Linked DNA regions of Rattus norvegicus. The protein of the gene in region 7 interacts with the protein of the main gene of each other region in a pairwise test. Links are inferred from orthologs where the notes say so. Each region holds a gene or a part of one and is shown on either strand. Other genes may lie near its edges. The genes, in order: Sptan1, Exoc1, Ywhaz, Pafah1b1, Gripap1, Ppm1e and Disc1.

Region 1 (3,160 bases), on a different chromosome or scaffold from region 7:
CAGTTGGCCTTCTGTATGCATGGCCATGGTCAGACAATAATAAACACTTCAGTCCTGGGCCTCAAAGCCTCCAGAGGGGAGAATGGGTGCAGAACCAGGCACATGTGCAGTAGCGAGATGGGCTGCAGGGCTTAGACACAAGGTGCCTGCCATTCTGCAGCAGACAAGCATCTGTGGGAGTCACTGAGCGTAAACTCAAAGTTCTTAGGTGGGAATGACTGGTCTGCCCAGAGCCATACATGGCCTTGCCCAGAGCTTCAATGCTGGTTTAACAGAACAGTTTATTTATGACCAGAGATGAGACCATTGCCACAATCTGGGGTCTAAGGCAGCCAGGAGCATAGGCATGTGTGACTCGATGCTAGTAGGACATGGAGCGCTAAGTCAGCCACCAGGTGGGCATCTCCTGCAGTCTGAGCTCAGGCACACTAGACTCTGTAGTCCATGTCATTGCCTTGTGACTGCTCTTTGCAGGAGACATTTGATGCTGGCCTGCAGGCCTTCCAGCAGGAGGGCATTGCCAATATCACTGCCCTCAAAGACCAGCTGCTAGCTGCCAAGCACATTCAGTCGAAGGCCATCGAGGCCCGACATGCCTCCCTCATGAAGAGGTGGACCCAGCTGTTGGCCAATTCAGCTACCCGCAAGAAGAAGTTGCTAGAGGCCCAGAGTCATTTCCGAAAGGTAAGGGTAAGAGTCATCTGGCCAGTATAGTGGACAGTAGACCCATGTGCCTCTGCCTGGCTGTGCCATCACCCTGTGAGGAAGAAGTAACCTCAGCCCAAAGGAGTTGAACGTGGCACCAAAGTCAGTGGAACCCGAGGCACGTGGAGTCCTTGAACTTGCCCTGGAGAATTTATCCTTGACCCTCCCAGGATGAGCACAGCTTGTGCCAGGGAGCGGCAGGCAGAGGACAAGTTGGGAAGATTGTGAGATGGGGCAGAGAGACAGACCCGCAGCAGGCGCTACTCTGATTCCCAGAAACTTCCTCACCCACAAACGTGCCCACCACTGACAATTTGCCCTTCTACTTCTAGGTAGAAGACCTCTTCCTGACCTTTGCCAAAAAGGCATCGGCTTTCAACAGCTGGTTTGAGAATGCAGAAGAGGACCTCACAGACCCAGTGCGCTGCAACTCTCTGGAAGAAATCAAAGCCCTCCGAGAGGCTCATGATGCCTTCCGCTCATCGCTCAGCTCTGCGCAGGCCGACTTCAACCAGCTAGCCGAGCTGGACCGTCAGATCAAGAGTTTCCGAGTGGCCTCCAATCCCTACACCTGGTTCACCATGGAGGCCCTGGAAGAGACGTGGAGGAACCTACAGAAGATCATTAAGGTGTGCCACTGCTCCCTGCCCCTCTTGCTTAAGTCCCACTGCCCTTTCCCAAGGTAGAGCCATGTTTATGCTGAGCCCATCTGAGGCCAGATGTCAGGAAGCAACAGGAAGTAGCAGCTCCCTTTTGTCTCAGGAGCGAGAACTGGAGCTGCAGAAGGAACAGCGGCGGCAGGAGGAGAATGACAAGCTACGCCAAGAGTTTGCCCAGCATGCCAACGCGTTCCACCAGTGGATCCAGGAAACAAGGTGCCTGCCCTCTGGGGCTAGCCAGGGAACATGGTGCCCCTTTGCAGCTGCATGCCAAGCCTCTAGGGAGCTTGTTAGAGACCTGGTGGGTGGGGGGCTGCTTGGACGAGGACTGTCATGTCTGATTGGGTCCAAAGCAAACGTGGGCTCAGCACGGTTCATTTCACCAAGGGTGATGTTGGCACTTGCCCCAAGTGAGGTAGAACAACTGCCCGAGGCCCCGTCATCCTGGCACCCAGGCTTGGGCAGAAGAGTACTAATGTCCTGTATTTTGTTCTCTCTTCTACATCGTCCCGATTGCTGCTGTGTGTGGATACTGCCATGGCTCCTGGACACTTGGATCGCCATAGAACGTATCTCCTCGACGGGTTAATATTGCCTTCTTTTCCGGGCTTGTGGTGTGGTGGTGTCTTGTGTGCTTGTCCCTTTGTCCCTTGTCCCCAGTGGCCTGGCTTGCAAAAGATCCCAGGATGGGCCTCCTGCCCACCTTGTCCATGCCCATTTTCCCTGCTAGAAGAACCCATAGTGTTGCGGGAGTCACCTCCCCTCTTTCAAGGTAGGGACTAGCTGTGGTGGGAAACCAGAGTCAGTCTGAGAACCCTGTCTGTGCCTGGCCACCAGAACTGGATTGCACTTGCCTGTTTTCCCATAGTGACCAAAAAATTTGCATTACGCCCCAGAGGTCAGTGGGCATATAGAGCTGGGTGGCTATGCTCAGAGCTTAGACTGAGGACAGCGTCCAGTTGAGGGGAAGCTCTGCAGCCCTCTTAGGACTGAGGTCGTCCTATCTTACCCCTGAGGAGAGTAACCAGGATTGTTTATCCGAGAAAAAGGCAAATGTCCAACGTTACAGTGTTACAGAGACAGGGCTTGGAGGAGCTGCGGGAGGAGCAGGGCTGTCCCCTAATCCCAGTAGGAGCCTGTATGAAGGGCCCCCACTTCAGCCCCCAATCCATTCGTGCTACTAACTAATCCAGACAAGAGGCCTAACAAGAACCTATGGCCTGTGAGATTCTGCAGAGGGGAAAGTCAGGCATGTAAAGAGATAATGACCACAGAAATCTGCCAAACCATTCAGGCTGTAGGAGGCTTTGCAAGGTGGGAAGGATTGCAGCATCTGGACTGCCTACCACAGGCTTCCCCACCCTATGCTGTCTGCTGCTCTTGGTCTTGTTTCTGTGCAGTGCCATGCTTCCTCACCTGTGGCTCCTCCCAAGCCTTGTCCCACCTGGCCCACCCCTTGAGCTGCCCCTGGTTCCTACCCAGTGCCAGGCTTCCAGCTGTGGCACGTGTCTGTCTCGATATGCTCTTGCCTCGCCTCCTTTTGGTGTATTCATTTGGTTTCTTTTCTTTGACTAGCATAGCATATCGTCGGGTCATTCGTGTCTATCAGTATGAAGTTGGGGATGATCTGTCTGGAAGGTTCTTCTCCTCTTATTTCTCTTCTTCCCTCACTGTGGTTTTACCAATGCACTCTGGACTCCCAGGCGGCTGCTTTCTAACCCACACCCTAGCCACTTGGGAGGAGGGTCTGTCCCCCTCTGCTGCACTGGCCCTGGCCCTGCCTCCTGCCCCGTCCC
Region 2 (3,934 bases), on a different chromosome or scaffold from region 7:
GGAAGAGGAGGGGAGGGGAGGAAGAGGAGGAGGAAGAGGAGGAGGAAGAGGAGGAGGAAGAGGAAGAGGAGGAGGAAGAGAAGGAGAGGAGGAGGAAGAGGAGGAGAGGAGGAGGAGGAGGAGGAGGAGGAGGAGGAGATGATCATCCTGGTAGAGTATGTTATCCTGCCTTCGCAATCACCTTTTCTAGTTCTACCTCATTATGAACTCATTCAGTATAGAATTAAAGCTTGAATGGCCTTTGTACCTGGAAATCAAAGTTCCCAGCACTCAATCCCTGCCAGGGATGTGGCCTAAATGAATCACTTGTCTTATAGCTCACAATCTTGGCATCATTCATGCCTCTCACACTGAAACAAGTATCACCTTTAAAACAAAGATTCTGTTTCAGTATCTGATGTGAGCCGGCGGGTGCAGTTTCTAAAAAGCACCCAGGAAGGTCTGCGCAGTCCGCCCGGTAGAGTATGAAGTGCGTAAGTGACATGGTTCTAGACCTAAACACGTTATGGGAATTAAGTGGGGAGAAATTAAGGATACTAGTGATGTCTAGGTTCCTCTCCCAGAGATTCTGACTTAACTCATTGAAGTGCTCCGAAGAATCTAGAGTTAACAGGATTTTACATATGCAAAGGAGAAAACATTTAATGAGCTCTCAAATGATTTGCCACAAATATCAGAATGGGTACATCTAGAAAAAGAAAATACCACCATTATCAACTCCTCTAATCAGTGGTTATCTATGCTAGTGGTTCTCAACTTTCCTAATGCTGCAACCCTTTAATACATTTCCTCATGCTGCAGTGGGTCCCAACCATTAAACTATTTCATTTCTATTTTATAACTGTAATTTTGCTGCTGTTATCAATTGTAATGTAAATATCTGATATATGGGATATCTGATATGTGACCCCTATGAAGGGATCATTTGACCGCGAAAGACCCACAGGTTGAGAACCACCAGTCTACGAGCTTGCGGGTTCGGTCCTTGCCTTTTCCACGCCCACTGTCTGGCCCGGTCCCACCCATCAAGGCAACGTTCGACCTCCTCCAAGTCCATTGGTCAATCTGTTCCCTTCCATTGTCTCCGTTTCCGGCTCCACAAGATCAACTTCCGGTACAGAGCGGCACGTGACCGGATACGGGAAGTGGCGGCTTCTGGCCGCTTCTTTTCCCAGCTCAATGAAAAGCGTTTCATAGCTGCTCTTGCTGCCGGCGCCCTTGTAGAGTCCGTCTTGGAGCACCAACCTCGGCCGGCCGGCCTCGCGGTAAGCTTCCGGCCGGGGACCGGCGGTCCTGGAGGTGGTAGCCTAAGTGGAGGCAGTGTTCAATCTGCGTCAGGTCGGCCACTCCCAAGTGACACGGCCCACCCACCCTGCTGCCCTCCAGGGCTGCAGAACCGCTGCTGCAGAGCCCGGACTGAGTCCTTACTTCTTCCTGTCCTGGGCTCTGGGAGAAGACGGAGCCCGGAGGCAGCCTAGGGTCAGTCCTCAGTTCCGCCCATCCGGGACAGATTTCATTTTTGCCAAATTAGCGTGGTTTGGGAGAGGAGAACGTGACCTGGCTTCTGCCGGTCCAAATCAACAAATATGTCCTTATAAATCTTAAAAGGGCGTTGCCCAGCCTCTGAGCAGTTTTCGTTTTTTGGATGACAAGTCTTGAGATGTCACTGCAGTAGATGGGCCCAACCCACTAAGGCACTTGCACTGACACACAGTGTAATGATGGCCCTATCAAGGTGCAGGAAGTAAGATACGCGATGAACAGAGGTTAGCTGCCTCTGTAACGGGCAGCCTTGAGGTTTTAGAAGGCGAAGAACTAAAGAGAACCCAGAATATGGGCGTGGGTTTTAGACTTGGTAAATAGTTGTGAAGGCCACTATTAATAATACTGGCATAATATAAAGTTCTGTATAAACATTGGAGAATTCATCACTAACCCCAAAGAAGACTGACTGTTACAATTCTACATCATCCCATTCATGTCTTTCAGATTCTCCACTATACCCCCAGAGTGCTACCTGGCACTTAGTGAATAGTAATATTTGTTGAATTACGTCTAATTTCTTTTATGAGTTATAACCAGTCCTCTGCTGTTTGGCTGTTTACCATGCACGGAGTCTTTAGTATGGTGAATATTGGCCTGAGTTAATTGTTCTGTTTACCAGTTTTTACTGTTTCAATAAAACAGGTTACACCAAGAGGTTGTAGTAAGTACCCAACACACAAACCTGTGTTAGAGCACCCTCCCTCCTCCTCTTCCTCCTCCTCCTCCTCCTCCTCCTCCTCTTCCTCCTCTTCCTCCTCTTCCTCCTCCTCTTCCTCTTCTTCCTCTTCCTCCTCCTCCTCCTCTTCTTCCTCCTCCTCTTCTTCCTCCTCCTCCTCCCAAGAGATGACTGTGGAGACCTAGGAGATGATACTCATGTCCCCATTAGATAGCAAGCACTTGTCTCGTAAATACAGTAAGTGCTCTAGACATTTGCATGGGAAGAGCAATGAGGATTAAGACTTTTACTGAGTCAGCTTCATCCAAATGGAGAAATGTACGTTTGAATAGGGAAAAGATAATCTGGCCTGCATGGGAAAGTGCTTAACCAAAGATTTCAAGTCAGAAACAACACAGTGCTTTGAATGCAAGGCATGGCTTGAGAACAGTGGTATAATGAGGACTGGTTTAAAGTTATTTACTAGTTTTTCAGGGAACTTGTAGAAACTTTAAAAAAAGAAAAAGGTAACAGGTGCTATTACTTAAAGGCAGTAAATCTTGGTTGCTTGGTAGCCAGATGGGGGAAAAGTAAATTATATGTAGATGGAGAAGTCACTGCGTACGCTAACAGATTTCACGTTGGCATGGAGGAAGCAATGAACTAGGGCAGAGTTTGAGTCTGGGTTGTTTTCTTATAGATTCAAAAGTTGGAAAGAGGTAACTTGGAGGGAACTATCCCTGGTCTGTTGTTGAGTGCAACAGTATTTCCCTAAATGTTTACTAAGCACTCGCTGTGTGCCTCGTGGCAAATGCTAGGAATATAAAGATGGATAAGATGAGATCCTTGCCGAGAGAGAACTGCTTTTAGTAGGGTCTAGAGTGCACTAGCTAGAAAACACTGGTTGGAGAGCTGCTGCCAGTAGAGGTAAGCTGGGGAACAGAAGAGGAGGAAGGCTTCAAAGAAGATGCAGTGTGTTATCAGAATGGTTGAGGGTGAGTTGGAATTTGCAGTGACAAGAATTTCAGAATGAGGAAAATAGTGAACAAAGCCCAGAGACAGTACAGTAAACTGCAGTGTCCACTTGAGTTTGAGGATAGGATAGAGTATCGCTTTAATGTCACACCTGGGCCCTAGGGCACATTAAGGGGTGTGCCACAAGCTAGAGTCATCTGAAAGAAGGAAACCGCCATTGAGAAAATGCCCCCGTAAGATCCAGCTGAAGGGCATTTTTTAAATCCGTGGTTGACGGGGGCTGGATCATAACAGCAGTTGCATGCCTGACTTGCAGAAGGGACTGCAGGACTGTTCTAAAGCCTCCCTGCCATTTGTGATCCTCCCAGCTGGGTGGGGGAGGCCCCTTCCTCATTGCTTACTGCTGTGTGTCCTGTGGGTTTTTAGCCTTCCCAGCAGTTGAAAGTAGGATTCTTGCCGCAGATGTCAGTCGTATTTCCCAAGTGGTTGATGGTATGAAACCTTTTGGGTTTCTGGTGTGCATCTTTGCAATAGGCAAAGGGCGGCTGCACATGTTTTTCCTTAGCACCATCCACGCCCCCTTTTCTTGTGCGTGGTCTCTCACCAGATTGGCGCTCCAACCATAGGTGAAGTTGTCTGCTCAGTGCACTCCAGGGATCTGCTTGTCTCTGCCTCCCCAGCATGAGGTTGCAGGCAGGCTTCCCCATGCACTGCTTGTTAAATGAGTTCTGGAAACTAACAAGATTGGACTTGTGTCCT
Region 3 (4,245 bases), on a different chromosome or scaffold from region 7:
GCATTAATTTGCTCATCTGCTTAGCATGTTATGAATCTATTGCTGTGGAAACGGGTTGTGGGGGGGTGATTGGCGAGGGGAGCGACTGGTCACAGGCAAATCTTTAGCTAGCTGTCATTTCAGGCAAGTTATAATTTGTAGAACAAGCTTGTGGTTCAGACAATGTATCCAACATACGGATAAGACAGTGGTAGGGAAAGAATAGCTTGTTATGAAGTCTTCCAGAGAGCTCTGGGCCGAATTCCTGAGGTTCTTTTTTCAGTTGTGCTTAGTGTAGCCCCCAAAAAATGTTTTAGCTCAGAGGAGCACAGTTAAAAGGAGCAAAAGCAGATACTTCATACAGAAACTGCATCTCCTTTCAACTTCCGTCTCCTGGGTGGAGACCTTGTGGGTTCAGGCACCTGCAATTTCCGCCCTTTTCCTCCCCCCCCCCTTCTTCCGGGCGTAGAAGCCCTGCTGCTCCTCCTCCACTAGGGCCCTAGGAACGACCACGCTCCCAAACCTTGCTTCCAGAACCTAAAAGGGTCACACTCTTACAATGCGTTAGTTAGGAACGATGCGTCTCCCAATGAAAGCCCTACGGAGGGTAAAAGCGTAGACCATGAAGAGCAGTTCGGTGTGTTCTAGCCTGTTTCCCCGCTTCGCCCCAAGTCAGGCTTCTACGATCACGTCCAACTCGCAAACCCAACCCTTTCCCCGCTCCTCCCAGCGACCACCCATTGTCCCCGAGGCTGTCACGGTGCGGACGCCGAACTCGCGACTGGAAGGGCAGGGCGTCATTCAGCCTCGCGCTTTTCCAAGCCTTAAAAGGTCTAAGGCCGCTTCCTGCAGCAGGCAGGTAAAGCGGACCGCGGGAGGGAGCAACCGCGCCCGCCCCGCCCCGCGACGGCGGGGCCGCTGCCCTGCTCCGGGGTTCTGATCACAATGCCCTGGCAGTAGAGCCGCTGTCACCCTGCCCTGCAGCCTGCCCGCCGCCATTACCAGCGCAGAGAGAGGGCGGCCAGGCGGGAGGGGGTGGGGTGGGGAGATGCGAAGGTCCCGGATGTGCCCGCCAGTAGAGGTGGGGGCGGGGAGAGGCTTCCTTCCGCGGGCCGCAGGGGCGGGGAGGGAGGGCAGCTCGCGGGGGCGGTGGGGAGAGAACTGAGCACGCGGGTGAAGGCAGGGTCTGGAGCGGAGCGGAGCGCGGGTACGCGCTCTCCTCCGCTCGCCCTCGGGCGCGGGCGGGCCGGCCGGGCGCGCGCAGGGGAGCGGCGGTTGCGCTGGGCCGGAGAACTGTGGGCACCAATCAACGGTTGCCATAGCAGCGTTTGACGTCATCGTGCGTGTGGTGCCCCTGCTGCCGGGGCTAGTGATTGGAGGAAACCCCGTGTCTGCGGAGCGGCTGTAGCCTGTGAGCAGCCAGATCAGGGACAGAGTCTCAGCCTCGCCGCCACCGCTGCCGCCGCCCAGAGACTGCCGAGCCGGGTCCGTGTGCCGCCACCCACTCCGGACACAGGTGAGAAGCCGCCCTGAGTCGGCCTCCGCTCCCTTCAGCCCTCCGCTGCGCTGCGGGCCGAGAGGGGTCTCCCCTGGAGGACCCGGGCGGCGGCTCGGCTCCGCCGGGCCCGGGCAGGCGCCCACCGCCGCCCCCGGCCGCTTGCTTCTGGCCTGCCCGGCTGCTCATCGCCCCGTTCTGGTCCCCGGGTGGGGGTGGCGGATCAGGCGCCCACGCGCGATACCCAGGGGCTCCTACTCCCCAGGGCGACCGCGATCCGCCCCCGCCGGCACCCTGCTTCCGCCCGCGACTGTGACTCGGTCGTGGCGCAGGTGAGGCCGCCCCCACCCGCGGTACCCCCGCCACCCCTCCCCCACGCGGGGGGCAGCCAGGTAGCATGCGGGGCGCTGGGGTGGGGCTCGTCGGGGACCCTGAGTTGGGCTTGCTGGGTCCCGCAATGCCGGAAAGGACTCTCGGGGCGCGCGGTGGGGGAGGGGCGCGGCCAGAGCTAGGCATGGGGTCACAGGGGCTCGGGGTCCCCAGCGTCCCGGGCCGGTGGGAGGTGCGCATCCTTCCCGGAGCCCCGGCCCCCTAGTGGGGGCTGCGCCTGTCTGGGTGGGGCCCTGCCCCTCCCCCTACCGCAGCTGTCCGGGCTTCGGGACTCCGGTCGGACACAGGCGGAGGGGACCCTGGGCGGGAGCGGGGTGTGTCCGGCGCGGGTCGGCCGCGGTTCCGCTTCTGCGGGCGCGGATGGCATCGGGCCCCCGGGAGGGTGAGTCGCTCTCCCTCCCCCCCCCCACCATCCGACTGGGGCGGGTGCGCGGACTGCTCCACCCTCTGCCCGGGTTGGGGGGGGGATTCACAGTCGGAGTAGGTTGGGCTCCTTGACACAGTTCCGCCATGACAAAGAGAGTCGGGGACTAGCGCGGAGGCACCAGCCTGGGCGGAGCCAAGGAGGGGAGGTGGCTGCGGATGGCGCGGACGCCAGGACTAGCGCTTTAAAGTCACCGCTGCGCGGTTTCGGTTCGCCCCACCCGCCGGCCTCGGGCAGCTAAGGGTTAAGTGGGTGCGGCGAGTATTCCCGCAGTCTGAAGGCGAGGTCCGGGAGCACTAGTTTTCCTGTGAGAAACCTAATCCACTTCCCCTTATACGGGAGGTTGGCAGAGGAACGTTTGTACTGACTGGGCTTACATCATTTTTTGGAAGCAACATTTACCAGAGACGGTTTCTGATGTTAGATTTCGAGACCCCGGGGGGGAAGTATGGGTTCACAAATTTTAAATAGTTGATGCACTGAAGGTACTGTGTCTCGAATTTAAGCTAGCTCCGTGTTTCTGTTCTGGACACTGCTCGTTTGGCCAACCAAAAAGAGGTCGTCCTTTCTGGAAAGGGAAAGGAAAGGATTTGATAATTTCCATGGTGGGCGGCTGTGACTCTTATGCCTTTCGATGTGCCTTCAGGTTGTGACTTTTTCTTTATATTTTGTGGGATCACTATATGATTTAGAATCTTGCTCTTGACATGGTTGAAGAAATAAGTAAATTGGAATCTAGAGATCGTTGAAATTGAGCAAAAGAAAACTGAGAAACTATGAAAAAGAAGAGCTTGAGTACTTCTGTGACTCGAGCTAGAAATAATGCGGTAGACATTGGAAGCACTCGGGTCCTTCCGTGTGTTGTAGACTCAGTGCACACTCATAGTAGGAAGTATGGGTGTGTGCTGAAGCAAGAGGTCATACAATGCCATATAGAGACAGATTTGGTCTTGGCTTTAGTGAGTCCTAGTGGTAGTGTGTTCAAGATGTCTTAAGCAGCAATTAGCCAATTATCTTGAGATAATTTTTATTCCATGATCAGCTGGCAAATGTTACAAGTGTAGTAGATCAGGGTTGGGGAGGTGCTAAATAAAACTCAGTCACTCTTGGTAAGAATATATACATATAAAGGTTAGAGTATATGAGTTACATTACACTGACATGACTCACGATTCTGTAGGTATGCACTTCATAAGCATTGTAGATCCCAGTCCCTACCCTAATCCTTGATGCCCATGCACACACCTGAGGGTCCCTACCCACAATCCCCTCATGCCCATGTACACACCTGAGGGTCCCTACCCACAACCCCTTCATCCCATGTACACACCTGAGGGTCCCTATCCCTAACCCCTTCATCCCCATGCACACACTCGAGGGTCCCTTCCCACAACCCCTTCACCTCCATGCACACATTTCGAGGGTCCCTACCCACAACCCCCTTCACCCCCATTCACACACTCGAGGGAACGCTGCTCAAGTGGGTCATTTAGTGGTATTAGGATCAAGTGATACTTTGGCCAAAGAAAATAGAGGTGGGTTTTTAAGTAGCTTATATGTCCATATATGCTTTGATCTTACTTGAAATTGGGATCTTCTGAACATCTGGAACATGCAGTTTGACTAACCCACTGTTAATATTCAGACTATGCTAGTTTTCTGGTTGGTTTGGGGGCGTGGGGGTGTTTTAATTCCTCAAGCTAGGTTTGAGATGCTGGTGTGCCTTATTTACGACAGGTATAACGAGTGTGTGTTTTTCACAGGAGTTTTCTGAGTGTTTCTCTTGTTCACCTTGCAGAATATCCAGTTATGGATAAAAATGAGCTGGTGCAGAAGGCCAAGCTGGCCGAGCAGGCAGAGCGATACGATGACATGGCAGCCTGCATGAAGTCTGTCACTGAGCAAGGAGCCGAGCTGTCTAACGAGGAGAGGAACCTTCTCTCTGTTGCTTATAAAA
Region 4 (3,500 bases), on a different chromosome or scaffold from region 7:
ATGTGGTTGCTGGGAATTGAACTCATGACCTCTGGAAGAGCAGTCGGGTGCTCTTAACCGCTGAGCCATCTCTCCAGCCCCTGAGACAGGATCTTAAGTATTGGGCTACTCCAAGCTTCATAGTGAGCTCCTACTTTAAAAGGAAAAAAAGGAGTCGTTTTATATAATGATTCTTCATTTGACTTCATGTTGTCTTTTATGGAAATAGAATCAAAATTAAATGGAACAAGAAGAATTTATATCGAGTTATTCCAGGCCAACAAGGACTTTGTAGTTTGACCTTGCCTCAGGAAAAAAATTCAGAATCTAAAATACTATAGGTTTTAGGTAGATTATCTCTGAAAACATGTAAATCACAATAGTGATTGCCTATGTTAAAATATTAGATATAATTGGCAATATGGACCTATTAAGTAGGGTTAGGGATATATCATGCACAATCCTTGGATTTGATTTCTAGTGCCTTACATCTGCCAGGTATGGTGACTCATGCCTTTAGGATCAAAAGTTCAAGGTCATCCTTAGTTTCTGGCTAACCTGGGATTCACAAAATCCTGTCTTACAAAAGCAGAGAGGACCAGGCATGGTTGCTCATGTCTTTCATCCCAATGCTCAGAGGCAGGGGCAGGGGTATCTCTGTAAATTCAAGGCTGGCCAGTACACACAAAAAAATAAAATTGGCTAAAGGATGTACTGTTATTGTATGTATATTTACGTTTTGTTTAATTCGTGACTTTAACTTCTTTTTTTTTTTTCTTTTTTTCGGAGCTGGGGACCGAACCCAGGGCCTTGCGCTTGCTAGGCAAGTGCTCTACTCTACCACTGAGCTAAATCCCCAACCCCATGACTTTTAACTTCTTAACTACTTAAGTTAGTTTAAAGGCTTAAACAGAGGACTCCTAAATCAACCTTTTCTATAATTTTGTGACGAAAGGCTCACAGTAATTGGGAAATGTTGAAATAGGAGAGCACAGATGCTTGCCAATATTGTCAGGACAGAATGAAAAAGAAGCATGAAAATATAGTTCAACTTTGCTGCCTTTAATTAGAATTCTAAATGTCATTCTAAGACAATATACTGTTTGTAGCTTGTGCATTTTTAGTGTATTAAAATAGTTTAATTTCTTTCGTTTGTTTGTTTGTTTCGGGGAGGCAGGGGTTCAAGACAGAGTTTAACTCTAGCCCTAGCTGTTTTGGAACTCACTCTGTAGACCAGGCTGGCCTCAAACTCAGAGATGTGCCTGTTTTTGCCTCCTGAGTCCTGGGACTATAAGCATGTACCTCCATTGCCTGGCTTCATTTTTAAATAAGGTCTTTCAGTGATGCCTAGTCCAAACTGGCTTTGAATTCACTATGTAGCATGGGCTGGCCTTACACTCCAGGTCCTCCTGTCTTGGTCTCTAGTGCTGGAATTAAAGGCATGTACCACCACTGCATGGCATTTAGAGTTGTCTCCCCTCTCCCCTCCCTCCATCCTTCCTTTCTTCCTTTCTTTCTTATATATAAGTGCACTGTAGCTGTCTTCAGACACACCAGAAGAGGGCATCAGCTCTCATTACAGAGGGTTGTGAGCCACCATGTGGTTGCTGGGAATTGAACTCAGGACCTCGGGAAGAGCAGTCCGTGCTCTTAACCACTGAGCCATCTCTCCAACCCCCCCAGAGTTATTTCTAATACTAAAATATTTACTATAATTTTTTTTTTTTTTTTTTTTAGGGGGAGATGGTATTGTGCCTGAGAGATACTTTTATGGTGTATGCATGTGTGTCTGCCTGGAGACAACACTCTTTACCTGTTCCTCTTTAATAGGACGGTTACTTTCTCAACTTGGAGCTAGAATATTTTAGCTAGTCAAGAAGCCAGCAAGCCCCAGACAGGCTCTTTCTACATATCCTTGTGCTACAGACTTGGCATAGGACACTCAGCCCTTTACATGAGACATAAACTTCAATCCTCATGCTTGCACAGCAAGGAAATTATAACCACTTAGTCATCTCTTCGTATTCTTAGTAGAGTTTCATTAAAACATTTCTGTGCAAAACTCAATTCTAATCTCCAATGCTTGAGTATGTTTATCAAATAGTAAGAGAAGGTGAATGTCAACACTAGAAAAACTGATGGCTACTTTAACAATTGATGTCTAGGTATAGAAATATATCTGTGGAGTGCCTGCAGTTTACAAGCTGAGCAGTAAGTTAGAAAGTGATAAAATGGCAAAGGCCAGGACTAGAGCTCAGAGGCGGGTCACTTACCTAGCATGTACAGTGTTCTGAGTTCAGTCCCTTGCATCTCTGAAAATAACAAAAAAAGAAAAGATGCTAAAAAACAATACAGATAAATTGTAACAGTACCTAAGTTTTTGAATTTTGGAAGTATGTCTATTTTATTTCCAGAAATATTTATATAATTTAGTACTCTGGGCAGTGGTGGTACACACCTTTAATCCCAGTACTCAGGAGGCAAAGGCAGGTTTGAGGTTAGCCTGGCTCACATAGTGAGTTCCAGGGTAGCCAGGGTTTCACAGAGAAACTTGTCCTTGGGCTGCCCCAACCCCACCCCCCAAAAAATTATTAAGTGTAGTTCTTCAAATAGAAGGTCTTTTTAGGACTCATTTTAATTTTTTTCTTTCAGAAATCGAGCTATAGCAGATTATCTTCGTTCAAATGGCTATGAAGAGGCATATTCCGTTTTTAAAAAGGAAGCTGAACTAGATATGGTATGCTTGACTGTATAATTATCATTTTTCTAATTATTCATAGTGTAGTTAATGAGTTAAGTTTTACTTAAGGTTCAGTAGGTCAATTCAGCTATTTAAATTTTGCCATTTGTTGTGATTTACTTAGTGTTGAGCTTAATTTTCCCACTTTCTGTATAGTCAAATATTTAATAATGTTTTGTCTTAAAGGTATCATTGTTAAGCCATTTTTTAAAAGATCTTTTTCTCTTCCAGAATGAAGAATTAGATAAGAAGTATGCTGGTCTTTTGGAAAAAAAATGGACATCTGTTATTAGATTACAAAAAAAGGTAACTAGATCTTTCTTAAGTCAGTTGTATTCAATGTCTACTTATAAATTTTCTGAAAATATTGCCATAATTACTAATCTGCAGATACTCATGGTTGATCTTAAAAAAAAATACATTTCTTTGCTTCATGAAAACTTTGGTTTTAAGGTTATTTTTGATACACATTAAACAGTCTAGAGGTTTAACCTTGCATTGTCTTGACTGAGAAATTGGTGCTGAAGGAATCATTTGTGTCCTTAGAACAGTGCTGTTTAGCCTGTGGGTGGCACTGCACCCCTTTGAGGTTGAATATCAGCTAACCTATAGTATCAGGTATTTATAATTCATTAACAGTAGCAAAATTACACTTAGGAAGTAACAACAAAAGTAATTTTATGGTTGTGGGTCACCAGAATACAAGGATGTATATGGTCGAAGCGTTAGAGAGGTTGAGAACCAATGCCTTGGAAGGACATAACTAATTATAACTGGAAAA
Region 5 (3,988 bases), on a different chromosome or scaffold from region 7:
ACACTAAAAGAATGAATAAACAACTTGTGGCATATGGATAATAGGACATTCTATCCACTGACAAGAGAAAAACATCTGATAACAGCACAACTTGGGTGAATTGTGAGAGCCAAAAGTGAAAAAGAAAAGGAAATACAAAAGGAGTACATTGTATCGCATTCTATCTGAAGGAAGTTCTACAATAGACAAATGTAGTTCAGCCGGAAAGAAAAACAATGTTGCTCTGGCTGTAGGAGGAGGGGTGGAATGAAAGAACCTTTAAGGGGGATGGAAGTGGATTATGACAACATAGGCGTCAGAACAGTTATTGAATGGTACCCTTTAAATGACTGCATTTATATGGAGAGACAGCATCTATCAATAACATCTTTCAAATTACAAGGGTCCTGCTTCAATATATTTCCCACAGCAGGAAAACAATTTCACTTCTATAAGAATACAATGAGCAACAGTGTTTTTCAGATCTGAGATACTTAGGACACATTTAAATACTTTTTTTCTGGTGTTTTCGTTTTTGTTTTTGTGTTGGGGATCACATCCAGAACCTTGAGTGTGTTATCAAACCTTTTCATGGAGCTAGTTTTTGTTTTTACTTGTAATGGGGTTTTCTGTTTTTGTTTTATTTGCTACTGTTCTCACGAATTTTTAGCTTTCTCAATGACTAGATCTTTTCCCTAACATGAGCACTGTGTTAATAAAAATCATTGTCAGATCGTTTTTTAAAAAAAATGAGGGGTGGGTGGTCAAGGACTTTACGCGAGGCGGGATTCCCCTTTGGGGTCACCCTAGGAGGGCCGGAACAAGACCCGAGGAAGCTTCCGCTTTCATTTCCATGGTTATTAAGTCACTTTCTCTTTAAAGGAGCTTCGCGGAAGGTTAATTTTCTGTCGGAGGACTACTTCCCTCTCGACGAGTCCACTCATGATACAGGGATACCATAATGTCACATAGCAATGAGTAATCTATAAATGCTCAAAACTATTTACAATTTTGTAAATTTACAAACTATTTACAATTTTGTAAAAACCGAAGAAAAAATTTTATGAACTTTAAGCATCATTGCCTTCTCTACTTCTCTAAAATGCTGAACATTTGAATTAGTTTGTTTCCCCTCCATTGCTGGTCAGTGGTTCGCTCCGACCTTAGCACTGACAGGCCGCAGAAGCTGCGGCTGCGCACAAAGCTTGCGGGGGGTGGGGGGAGGAACATGGCGCAAGCTCTGTCTGAAGAGGAGTTTCAACGGATGCAGGTGCCGCTGGATGGGGGGAAGACCACCCGTCTAGGAGACTGGGGGCGGGGTAGAGAGAAGACATGCCGTCGGTTCTGAAGATTTGGTTGGGATGGGTCTTAAGTATAAGCGGGTGGTCTGGGGAAGGGAAACTGAGGCTCTGGGTGGCGATCTTATTGATTTCGAAGATTCTACGTGGGTTCTGAAGGTTGAATTCTGTTAGCCTTGTAGGGAATGTAGAACGTCTTTAGGCGAATCCTTTCTCAGTCCGGATTCGGGGTGAGACCTTTCGGTTCATGTGTAGGGCATACCATTAAATGGTGATGATGTTAGACTTTAAAGGATGGAGATTTCGAGGAGAAATTATTTTGTCTGGAGAGAGAAGAAGCAGGCATTTGGCCATTTGCGTCATGGGGGGGGGGCGCTGGTTGGTGATTTGACAGGACAAGACCATGAACTGGTGGGAGGTGGAAAGTTTGTGGGAGATACCAATACCACTAGGCTAGGGGAGTAGGGAAAGTCTATGAATCTATTCCCTAGAGTTGCTGTGCCATTGATGGTAGAAGATCCTAAGAGGGAGGGAGGGAGGTAGGGAGGGAGGGGTATAATTTCATGGACTGGGGTGATTCCTTTAGAACTGGGGAGAAGAGCATTCTGAGTGGGTAATACCATTAACCCAGATTAGAGGAAGAACCAGAGGATATTTTTAAAAACTGATATTTGGGGAGTTCAGGAAAGGGGACATCACTGGGTTTGGGGGAGTAGTCTGACCTGGTACTCAGACCTGTTGATCCTTTTCAGGGCATCCTGAGAGGGATGATAGCACTGCACAATGAATGGATACTTTGTGAGAGAGCATTAATGGGAAAGACTGAAATGGGGAAGCCTTAGAGTCCTGTAGGTTGGGGGCAGAATGCTTGAGGGAGCAGAAGTATTCCATTGACCCGGGAGTTAGCTGTTGTACTTGAGAGATACTGAGGATCTAAGAGTGAGTTCACTGGACCATAAATGGGGAGGACCGCTGTAAATTGCAGAAGATTCTGAATAAGACTAGTTCAACTGGCCCACCCAAGGGTATTTGAGAGATCCTGAGGGACAGACATAATGTCATCCCTATTGGATCATGACTAAAGACATCTTGTGAAGAGTGGGTAGATAGATACTTGAACATGGAAGGTTTATCCTGTTTGGGCAATGTGTAAGGAAAAACTATTGGGTTCTTTTGGAGAGGGACTTCAAGGTGGGTAGAAAGGTATTCCAGTTGGCCTAGGATTAGGAGAGATGATATCTGGGTCTTGAGGAGACCAGGACAAGAAAGATCCTATAATAGCTAAGCCTTCTGATCTGGAGCAAACCAGTGTGCTGAGAGAGGTGGAGCTGGTGCTTTGAGAGGGATATAGAAACAGGGGTAGGGGACAGTGGGTGGTTCTGCGAAGAATCAGATTCAGGGCTCTCCAAGGTTGGAAGATATACATGGACTGTGTGAGGCGGCCCATGCTGCACTTCCTCTTAATTCTATACTTAAGGGGATTCTCACTTGTTTTGAAAACCTTGACAGTTCCACAGGACCTTGAGCAGCATCCCCCTGACTCATGGAACTTGGGAAGGAGAAAGACCAGATTCTCTTTCCTTGGGAAAGAATTGGGCCCCCACTGCTGGCCAAAGGGGCATTCTGAGTCTAGGCAGGACAGTGTGGTTACAGGGGGAGCTGAACAAGGTGGAGCTGGGGTTCAGGGCTTGCTTGCCCATTTAAGAATACAGTATCCAAAGATCTTTTTTTTTTCTTTTTTCTTTTTTTCGGAGCTGAGGACCGAACCCAGGGCCTTGCACTTGCTAGGCAAGAGCTCTACCACTGAGCTAAATCCCCAACCCCAGTATCCAAAGATCTTAAGGAGCAACGAAGGAAGTGCTTAGGCGATAGCAGTCCAATCTTTAGGACTTAGGGGCTTGTTTGCTTCATGTGGGGGTAAGAATGCTTTCCTGACAAATATTTTTGTTTCTTGGATCCTCCAAAGACACAGCTCCTGGAACTCCGGACAAATAACTACCAGCTTTCAGATGAACTCCGGAAGAATGGTGTTGGTGAGCCAAGAGCGTCTCATTAGATGGGGTGGTTTTGGGGGGAATAGAGGCCTGATAAGATGACCCTTCAGTTCCTTGTTACCGCCTGAGGCTCAGATTCCCTGCTTTCCCTGCACCAGAACTTTCCAGTCTTCGACAGAAGGTCGCCTACCTGGATAAGGAATTCAGTAAAGCTCAAAAGGTACCTCCCTCCGCCTACCCCATCCACCCACCACTTGCTTCGCCCCTATCCATCTGACTCATTCCCAGTGAACACACCTACACCGAAGCAGACCTAATGTCACATGCTGCTTTCTTATAGTCATTTGAAGTATTTTTTCACAGAAATTTCTTCAGTTGGCTAATTTTAACCTAATCTTACTTAATTTTTGCGTGTGTTTCTTTTAAGACAGGATCTTGCTATGTAGCCCAGACTGGCCTTGAATTCTTGATTGTCCTGCCTCAGCCTCCCAAGTGCTGGGAATATAGATGTGTGCTGACATGCCTGGCTTTGCTTAATTTATTGATTGATTTTAATTTAGTCTAATAGCAATTGCTTATTCATTTTCATTCACTTTTTGTTTTGTTTTTGCGGTGCTACAGATCAAGCCTAGGATCTCATGCATGCTAGACAAGCTCTCCATGTTTGATCTTAGCCAAAAGGCTAAAACGTGATCTTTTTGTTGTTTACAAGACAGA
Region 6 (4,216 bases), on a different chromosome or scaffold from region 7:
CAGTTGGTGAGAACACACCCTCTTCTGTCATTAATAACTGACTGGAAATGGTATTTCAGATCCTAAATCCAGCTGAAACCCAGAAACAATAAATGGAGTGATGGAGTGGATAATTTGTGAGTGTGTGCTTTTTTCAAAGCAGAGGGGGAAAAAATCACTATGTTTGTGCGGAATTACATGCTGCCACGGACACGGCAGTACGCGGCAATGATGCTATCATCCATACAGCTGTATAACACAACTCCCTCCAAGCATCCACCACCAACATCAGCACCACGAAGCCTGGAAATAATAGGTTTGTGTATAGTTTGGTAAGAAAATTAGAATAATTTAAAGTCATTTCAGTTCTAGTTTGGAGTGGGGGGGGTAAAGATGAGACACAGGAGGTGGTGGGGAAGAACAAACAAAATATAGACAAAAATACAAATTATATGATAGAATAATGTAGTATACTGACACGCATTATACAGAAGCCAAGGAGGAGGTTTTAGGGTGATGGAAAACTTACAAGTGAAATTTACCATTTCAACCAGGATTGAATTCTTGTTGCATCGCTTGCTTCTGACCTTGAGCAAAGTCACTGTCTTTAAGGTTTGTTTCCTCATCTGTAAAACAGAATCACAACGGTAATATCCTTTGCCTTAAAGGGCTGTAGTGAGGATTAGAGATGAACACGTGTAAACTGAAAAGCACTTTATAAATATGACATTGTGTGGATACGAGGCACAGATTTTCATAGAGCAGAGTTAAGGGGAAAGATTCTAAAGGCTTTGGAGACTTAGATCTGGGCGCTAACGCCAATGCCACAGCTCTAAAATCTTGACTTTAAAGCAAGCGAATTCCTATTTTATTTCACACGTTCATCTTTTTGAGAAAGGAGGATACATAGAATCAAATGAAAGGACCTGGGCAAAGGAAACTACCCTTTCAGGTGGTTGTGCCCCCACCTCTACTTTTTCGAGGCATGTCTTCAGTAAAAGGTGTTTACTGTGTGCTATCGTATCAAGAGATATACTAAGGCAAGGCAAGCAGATAAGGAAACTGAAGTCAGTACACTCCTGATGGAACCCACAGAGATGCTTAACATGAAACTAGGGTCTTCACCCAACAAAGACCATTCGAAGTTGGAGTGCAGGAGTCCAGTGTCCTTAGCACTCCACAGACTCGACGGGAGGGACCCTGGAATTCTTAATTAGAACCGGTTGCCATGGCGACAGTCTCTAGGCAGCGTGGGCTGAGCTCTCGGTAGGGATTGCGGGTGGGCCGCCGCTGGACCCTGTGCGCGCGCCCGCCACCAACTTTCCCTCCAGACCGGAGAGGGGTGGCGCGCTCCGCCCCCGCCCCCGGGCCGCGCACGTCCGAGCTCGGTGGCGCGCACGCCTGCGGGAGCCCTCTCCAGGCAACCCAGTGCTGATCGCCGGTGCCGGTGCGGCCGTTCCCCCTCCGTAGCGGGAGGCGAGGCTCCGAAGCAGCCCCCTCCTCCTCCTGGGTTCACCTCCCACCCCCTTCCCGGTGGACCTCGGGGCATGAGCAACGATGGCGGGCTGCATCCCTGAGGAGAAAACTTACCGGCGCTTCCTGGAGCTGTTCCTGGGCGAGTTCCGCGGACCGTGCGGCGGCGGCGAGCCAGAGCCCGAACCCGAATCCGAGCCCGAGCCCGAGCCCGAAGCGGAGCTGGTCGCGGCTGAGGCGGCCGAGGCTTCGGGGGAGGACCCGGGGGAGGACGCTGCGACGGTAGAGGCGGCCGAGGAGGGGGTGCAGGACCAAGACCCGGAGCCCGAAGAGGAGGCGGTGGAAGAGGAGGCGGCGGCCGAGGGCGAGGAGGAGGAGGAAGAGGAGGAAGCGGCTGCCCCGGGGCACTCGGCCGTGCCGCCGCCGCAGCCCCAGCTGCCGCCGCTGCCCCCGCTCCCGCGGCCGCTGTCGGAGCGCATCACCCGAGAGGAGGTGGAGGGCGAGAGCCTGGACCTGTGCCTGCAGCAGCTCTACAAATAGTTAAGTAGCGGGGCTCGGCCGCGGGTGGGCCGCCATCCCCGGGGGGGCTGGCCTGGGTCCCTGTCCCCGCCACCCGTGTCCCCGCGAGGCACCCGGGCGGGGTCCCCGCTCCTGCCCCTGGCCCCTCTTCGCTGACCCTCTCCGCCACTTCGCACACCCTTCTCCGGAGCCTTCTTGTCAAGGTCTTCCCTCCAGTCTTGGGCTTCCCATTCTTCCCAGCGCCTTTATTCCGGGGGGGTTTTCCTCCAACCTTCGTCTGTCTGTCCTTTCCCGGGCTGTGTTCCTTGTTGGGCGGCGGGGACGCGCGACTCCTTTATGGACTGAAAGAGGTGCCTTTCTGCATAACCGCACAAAGCTAATACCGTCGGTGTCCAGAGGAGCCTAGACCCCTGGATTTTCTGTTAGGCGCTCACCGTGGTGGCTCGATAGATGGCTTTCCTACGTGAGAGCCTAGTATCATACTTTACAGACATTTGACATCTCATAATATAGAGCGGTAGGGGGGAATTGGGAAGGAAGTGTTAAGTAAAACCCTACTGAGCAAGCCTTTAGGTGAAAAGACGGGGTCATAATTCGGAAGAGTCAGCCTGGTTGGGTAAAATTGCAATTAAGTGCAGTATTTTCAGTCCATTAAGTAGATGGGGTGGGAGGTGGGAGAAAAGCAGATGGCTTAGCTACCCAGATGCAAGTCTAAAATAGAAAGGTCAAGGCTTTGCCTTTCATCCGAGTTCTGCTTTTTTATGGGCTTGGAACAGATACGGTTTACAGTTGCGTTTCTTTCCAAATGGAACTGTTCTGAAATAATGCCTCAGCAAACACCGGTAAACCAGAGAGTCTTTTGACATTCAGCTAATAGTTGTAATGAAAGGTGTTACTCTGACCACCCAAAAAGTTTATTATCGCAAGCTAAGTTTAAACCCACTTCCTGGATTTCTCTAAAGCCTGGGGGGGCCAAGAAGAGAAAGCTATTTTGTCTTCATCTGACCTCGTAGACAACTGATCAAACCATTCTCCTGTTAAAAGCAGCAGCCTGTCAAAGGGAAAAGCCACTGAGCAGATCTGTAGAATTGAACCGTGTGGATGCCACATTTATAAACCATCTAGTAATTAATTTAAAAATACTGTCCAGTTACCAAGGGAATAGTGTGTTTTGGGGAAATGCAAAAATAAAATGGCGTGTAATACCACCACCTGGGGATAAACAGCATTAATGGTTTAGAGTAGTTCTTTTGTAAAATATCAAAGAAAAAGACCTACAGAATGCCAGTTTTTAAATACATAATTCAGACACTTAAATATAGTGGACATATTTGCCAAGGTGCAGAAATTTAGCTCAGGCTAGTACTATCTGGGCAGTTGTTACTTTTACATATACACTTCCAGAATTGTAGGGACAGCTTAAGGATTAAGAGGATGCTCCCCTACTGCTGTTAATGTAGTACAGTCCTGAACATTTCAAGGCTTTTAAAACCGAGATGTGCAGAATGAAATGGTAAGATGTGGGTGGTTTGTGTTTTAATGTGATGAGGAAACCAGATTAATCTTAATGTACATATCAATTAGAAAAATGATCACAATGAGAAGGAGGTCACCAATGGAGCATGGAAGTTTGTGTTTAAGTTAAAACTAGCAAAATTGACGTTAGAAAATATTATTCCCCCTTAAATTGGACACTTATACTCTGACTTCACATAAAACCAGACTTTGTACTATATTTTGTTCTGATGCTAGTCAAGATAAAAATGGCTGGCTCATTTATGTAAAGTATCTATAAGGTCCTTAGTGGGTTAAAAGTTTTAAAATATGTAATGACACTTTTAGTTTTTATTTTATTCTTTAAAAAAAAGCTTAAGACTTAGACAAGAATCAGGTCCAGCTGGTTTCAGTGTTAGGCCATTTTTCTCTTCAAGCACTTCATTTTACATGTGAGGCTACTAAGTCCCTATGCAGATTTGAAAAAACAAAAACCAAAAACGAGTCATGTAGAAACAATTCCAACATTTCCCCACAAAATCTCTGACTCTCAAAACACCTGCCACAGTGGGAATGTTGTCCTCAAATGTCTGAGAAAATACTTCGAAGTGAGGTTTTTAAAAAAATTATGTGCCTCTTCGTAGGTGTGTGTATGGGAGTGCAGGTACTCAAGGAAGCCACGGGTGGAGAATTCTCTGAACCTGCAGTTACAGGCTGATGTGAATTGCTGACACAGGGGTCCTGGGGACCC
Region 7 (4,288 bases):
CTGCAGGATTCTGCAGGACCAGTATGTTCTCTCTCTCTCTCTCTCTCTCTCTCTCTCTCTCTCTCTCTCAATTATTTGTTTATTTTTTTAAATATTTATTTATTATAGATAAGTACATTGTAGCTGTCCTCAGACACACCAGAAGAGGGCATCGGATCCCATTACAGATGGTTGTGAGTCATCATGTGGTTGCTAGGAATTGAACTCAGGACCTCAGGAAGAGCAGTCAGTGCTCTTAACCACTGAGCCATCTCTCCAGTCCACAGTATGTTCTCTTAGCTGTCAGGCCAGCTTCCCGGCCCGTTTTAAGACAGTTTATGTTATGTATTCAGAGATATTCCTAGCGATCCTTGGGTGCAAGTCAGAGATACCTGAGAGCATTCAATGGCAGGCTGGCCAATTCATCTGCATTTGCTATGGAATACCTCTTGGGGGAGGAGAGGGTTAATTTTAGCTTACCACTTGATCACAGGCCACCACTGAGAGGAGCCAAGGCAGGAGCCTGAAGGCAGGCCTGCTTACTATAACACACAGCATTAACCTCCAACCAAGAGCTCACCTCACTGCCAAGCAGGTACAGCAGGAACCGCAGAGGATGCTGTTTGCCAGCTGGCTCATAGATGGGCTTCAGTTCAGTTAGCTTTCTTGGTTAGTTCAAGACCTAGGTAATGGTGCCGCCCACAGTGGGCTGGGCCTTCGAAGGCCAGTTAACTGTCAAGACATTTCTTACAGACACAATCTGCCCTAACCCTAGCCCTGGGCTGTGTCAAACGGACAGGTAAAGCTAACTAGGACACTGACAGCCCCTTTTCCAACTGGATTTTCACTAAATCCAGACTCTCTGCTCATGTCTTTATCAACTTCAAGCCCCATCCACCCATGCTAACGTTAAGGCTCCTGGTAACAGGCAACTGGCTGCCCCACCTCTCCAGGGCCTTGTCTTCCAGTGGTCACAGGTTCCTCACTTCCTGTAGAAACTCTCCCATGCTTCTTCCTAGCGTCCCACTCCTCCCCCACGTTCCACCCACAGCCAGGCCTCCTGGCTTCAGGCTGACTACTCCCCACAGTTCAGTTTTGTAGGTTTATTTTTGCCTCCGGGTCCAGAGGGCCAGGTTACCCGTGACTGGCACTTCCTGGACCCAGTGTCCTGTAGCAGGTGCTTTGCTGGAGCAGCCAAAGGGAAGGGATGGTGGAGGTGAGCCAGCTGCTAGGAGCTTGGCACAGGCTTGTGTGCTCCTGGCCAGCCCCGCGCTGCCAGCGATCCTCAAGTCATTTTTAACAGCTGCTCCCACCCCCCAACCTGTCATCTGTCACTTGGTAGGAAGAAGTCCCTCTCTTGTCCACCCTGCCTTTTACTCCCAGGGTCGGGGAAGCGCCCAGTTTTTCGGTCCCTGGTCACCCTGCCCCATCACACTTCCCCTCCTTGGTTTCCTTCAAGTGAAAAGCAAAACTTTCTGCGCGCTGCGGTCTGGGAGCCGCGAGGGGCGGCGCGCGTGTGCGAGGGGGCCGAAGCTGGAGAGGAAGCGGCGGTCCTGGGCAGGAGGAAGGAGCCAGCCCTCGGCTCGGCCCCCTGCCCGTTTCCCGCCGCCTCCGCGGTCGCAGTCACCACCGTTGCCGCCGTCCGGAGCGCAGCCAGCCGCACGATGCAGGGCGCGGGTTCCCGGGGCGCTTGGATCCACAGTCCGAGCCACTGCCCAGGTAGGGCCCGGGGTCTGACGGAAGGCGAGCGCGGCCTGCCGAGATCCGGGCGCACCCCGGTGCGGGGGAGGGAAACCGAGGCAGGGAGCGGGGCGTGCCGGGTGCGGGCTGTCGCGTCTCCGGCTGCCACTGCAGCTCCCGTCCAAGCGCGTCCCCGCTGGGGGGAGCCTGGCGGCCTGGGGCGCAGTCGGTGGAGGGCGGCGTCCGCAGCGCCTGAGTGCAGCTCGGTCCTGGGACTCTCTCTCGCGTGGCCGGCGCGGACCCTGTGGGGACGCAGGGCGAGGTTGGGAGAGGTGTGGGAACTGCAGCCCGCACCTCCCGTGGGGCTGCTCGCCGCCCACTTCCGAGTGTGGACTGTGACGCGCAGGGCAGCGCAGGCTGAGGGGACCCACTCCATTTTCCCCCGTCAGCATGGGCCACCTACCAACCCTAGTGATGACATCGAGTTAAGTGGGCGGCCGCTTTTCAACAATGACCTCCGCAACTCACTGTCAGAAAACCAAGGAAATGAATGTGATGGCGCACGCCTCTGTTGCTAGTACGCAAGAGACTGAGCCAGGAGGATTGCGGACACTTTCTAATACAGCCTGAGACGCTATCTCAAAAACCCAAATCAAACCAGAATAACGGAAAAACAAAGCAAAGCAAAACAAAACAAAAACAAGAAAAAAACAAAAACCAAGCAGGGAGCCCAGCTCCAGACTGGGCTTTGCAGTTTGGGCGTGCCGTGCTGAAGGAGAGAGGGCAAGGGACTTAGGCTCTTATTTTAGCTCTTGGAGCCTCAGTTTGCCCATTTGTGAAAGGGGCACTAGCCACCCGCTTGCCTGTCTCCTTAACTAGGTTCTATGAAGAATTTTTTTTTTGCAAATGGGAGTTAGAAAACACAGGGTTGATGGGTGAGTGTAGGGTGAGAGTCTCCTGCACATGCGTCCTAGACTCGGGCTTGCCTCAGTTTTTCAATTTGCAAAATGGAGCTGATTTTCCTCCCGACTTGGTCGGGTTTTTAAAGGGTTTAATGTGGTAGGAGGGCATTAAACCCCTGGTTTAATGTGTCTGAGATACACAGCAAGCTCTCAAAAATCTTTTAGTTGCCCAGGTTAGCCTTAAATCCCCTGCATACCCTAGGCTGGCCTCCAATTCGCTAGCCTTGGCCTCCCAAGCGCTGGGATTACAGGTGTGCTCCACTACGCATGGGTCCCTAAGTATTTATTTATTTTTTTGACCGTACAAGACCTAATAATTACGGGTAATACAGGAATGCCAGTGTGAGTTAGTTAGCGTCTGAATTACAGGATATTTTAAAAGACATTTGGCATCTGATGTGGAGACTGTCAAGGTTTAGCCAGGACTCTGCTCACAGCAAAAAGAGCCCTGGATGAGAACCCTGCATTCTGAGCTGCCTCTCCCAGCCTCGGTTCTCTCTTCTGTTGACAGAAAGAGAAAGCACCGTTCACACTGAGTGTTGCCCTAGGATCAGGAGAAGCAGAACATCTGGAACTGGGGCTGGTGCCACCTTTGCAGAAAATGCATGGGCCAGGCACCTGCTCCTGCCCTAGGATGAGGTCCTCCTCAAACCTGTGAGGGCTGGTGCTACCATTCTCATCTTTTCTTCCATGAGGCAAGGGCTAGTCACCTGCCTGTGGCTTTGGTTGTTAAACAAGGACTGAGGCTCAGAAACCAGGTGCTGGTGTCTCCAATCACTGGCTGAAGGGAAGCCATGAGGTAGAGCCCAGGTTGAGAGTAGACCTTTTCTGGTCAAAGGCAATGCTTGGTCTGTTTCTGCCTTTTATACCTATTTTGTCATCTATCTATCTATCTATCTATCTATCTATCTATCTATCTACATCTATCTACCTCTATCTATCATCTATCTATCTATCTCTCTATCTATCATCTATTTATATCTATCATCTATCTACCTCTACTATCTATCTATTATCTATATGTCTATCATTAATCTATCATCTATCTATCTAACATCTATCTAACATCTATCTACCTCTATCTACCTACCTACCTATCTATTATCTATGTCTACTATCTATCTATCTATCTATCTATCTATCTATCTATCTATCATCTATCTCTCTCTATCTATTATCTATGTGTCTATTATCTATCTATCTACATCTATCTATCATCTATCTCTCTATTATCTATATGTCTATCATCTATCTATCTATCTATCTATCTATCTATCTATCTATCTACCTACCTACCTATCTCCAGCCATCTGCTTACCTACCTACATGCAGTACTAGGGACCACACCTAGGACTTTGTGCAATGCTAGACAAGCAGGTGAGCACTTCAGCACACCGTCCTACCTCTAGCTGGCATTTTTCATAATTGCAGACCCTAACAAAATGAGAGTAAATCACAGGAAGAACTTCGCCTTCCCCCTAATGTAATATTTTTATTGATTATTTGGGAATTTTATACAAATGCAATGCATCCCACCCCACTCACTTCCTATTCCTGCCACCCTCCCACCTTTGTGCCTCTCCTCCCCTCAACAAACAAACATCACCAAATTCAATTTGTGTCTCTCACACAGTCATTGTGTTGCTCCCAGTGGCCAGTCCCTTAGA

Evidence for each region.
Region 1: the proteins of Disc1 (region 7) and Sptan1 interact in binary tests that used the Homo sapiens proteins (3 or more experiments, as listed by UniProt). The link is inferred for Rattus norvegicus from reciprocal best matches to the Homo sapiens genes DISC1 and SPTAN1.
Region 2: the proteins of Disc1 (region 7) and Exoc1 interact in a two-hybrid assay, tested with the Homo sapiens proteins (2 studies listed by BioGRID and IntAct). The link is inferred for Rattus norvegicus from reciprocal best matches to the Homo sapiens genes DISC1 and EXOC1.
Region 3: the proteins of Disc1 (region 7) and Ywhaz interact in binary tests that used the Homo sapiens proteins (3 or more experiments, as listed by UniProt). The link is inferred for Rattus norvegicus from reciprocal best matches to the Homo sapiens genes DISC1 and YWHAZ.
Region 4: the proteins of Disc1 (region 7) and Pafah1b1 interact in a two-hybrid assay, tested with the Homo sapiens proteins (2 studies listed by BioGRID and IntAct). The link is inferred for Rattus norvegicus from reciprocal best matches to the Homo sapiens genes DISC1 and PAFAH1B1.
Region 5: the proteins of Disc1 (region 7) and Gripap1 interact in binary tests that used the Homo sapiens proteins (3 or more experiments, as listed by UniProt). The link is inferred for Rattus norvegicus from reciprocal best matches to the Homo sapiens genes DISC1 and GRIPAP1.
Region 6: the proteins of Disc1 (region 7) and Ppm1e interact in a two-hybrid assay, tested with the Homo sapiens proteins (2 studies listed by BioGRID and IntAct). The link is inferred for Rattus norvegicus from reciprocal best matches to the Homo sapiens genes DISC1 and PPM1E.

The regions. Positions count from the first base shown.
Region 1 is NC_086021.1:33,698,069-33,701,228, forward strand, and holds part of Sptan1 (spectrin alpha chain, non-erythrocytic 1), read left to right. Parts: intron 1-474; coding exon 475-684; intron 685-1,037; coding exon 1,038-1,334; intron 1,335-1,467; coding exon 1,468-1,580; intron 1,581-1,930; coding exon 1,931-1,948; intron 1,949-2,939; coding exon of another isoform or gene 2,940-3,002; intron 3,003-3,160. UniProt on the Homo sapiens protein: Fodrin, which seems to be involved in secretion, interacts with calmodulin in a calcium-dependent manner and is thus candidate for the calcium-dependent movement of the cytoskeleton at the membrane.
Region 2 is NC_086032.1:32,011,328-32,015,261, reverse strand, and holds the start of Exoc1 (exocyst complex component 1), read left to right. Parts: upstream 1-1,134; 5' UTR 1,135-1,265; exon of another isoform or gene 1,266-1,479; intron 1,480-3,934.
Region 3 is NC_086025.1:69,845,903-69,850,147, reverse strand, and holds the start of Ywhaz (14-3-3 protein zeta/delta), read left to right. Parts: upstream 1-1,445; 5' UTR 1,446-1,495; intron 1,496-4,086; 5' UTR 4,087-4,097; coding exon 4,098-4,245.
Region 4 is NC_086028.1:60,048,697-60,052,196, reverse strand, and holds part of Pafah1b1 (platelet-activating factor acetylhydrolase IB subunit alpha), read left to right. Parts: intron 1-2,631; coding exon 2,632-2,716; intron 2,717-2,950; coding exon 2,951-3,025; intron 3,026-3,500. UniProt on the Homo sapiens protein: Regulatory subunit (beta subunit) of the cytosolic type I platelet-activating factor (PAF) acetylhydrolase (PAF-AH (I)), an enzyme that catalyzes the hydrolyze of the acetyl group at the sn-2 position of PAF and its analogs and participates in PAF inactivation.
Region 5 is NC_086039.1:17,377,789-17,381,776, reverse strand, and holds the start of Gripap1 (GRIP1-associated protein 1), read left to right. Parts: upstream 1-1,188; 5' UTR 1,189-1,207; coding exon 1,208-1,249; intron 1,250-3,243; coding exon 3,244-3,310; intron 3,311-3,429; coding exon 3,430-3,491; intron 3,492-3,988. UniProt on the Homo sapiens protein: Regulates the endosomal recycling back to the neuronal plasma membrane, possibly by connecting early and late recycling endosomal domains and promoting segregation of recycling endosomes from early endosomal membranes.
Region 6 is NC_086028.1:72,681,747-72,685,962, reverse strand, and holds the start of Ppm1e (protein phosphatase 1E), read left to right. Parts: upstream 1-1,416; 5' UTR 1,417-1,536; coding exon 1,537-1,991; intron 1,992-2,001; exon of another isoform or gene 2,002-4,216. UniProt on the Homo sapiens protein: Protein phosphatase that inactivates multifunctional CaM kinases such as CAMK4 and CAMK2. Dephosphorylates and inactivates PAK. May play a role in the inhibition of actin fiber stress breakdown and in morphological changes driven by TNK2/CDC42.
Region 7 is NC_086037.1:69,910,488-69,914,775, forward strand, and holds the start of Disc1 (disrupted in schizophrenia 1 homolog), read left to right. Parts: upstream 1-1,488; 5' UTR 1,489-1,643; coding exon 1,644-1,698; intron 1,699-4,288. UniProt on the Homo sapiens protein: Involved in the regulation of multiple aspects of embryonic and adult neurogenesis. Required for neural progenitor proliferation in the ventrical/subventrical zone during embryonic brain development and in the adult dentate gyrus of the hippocampus.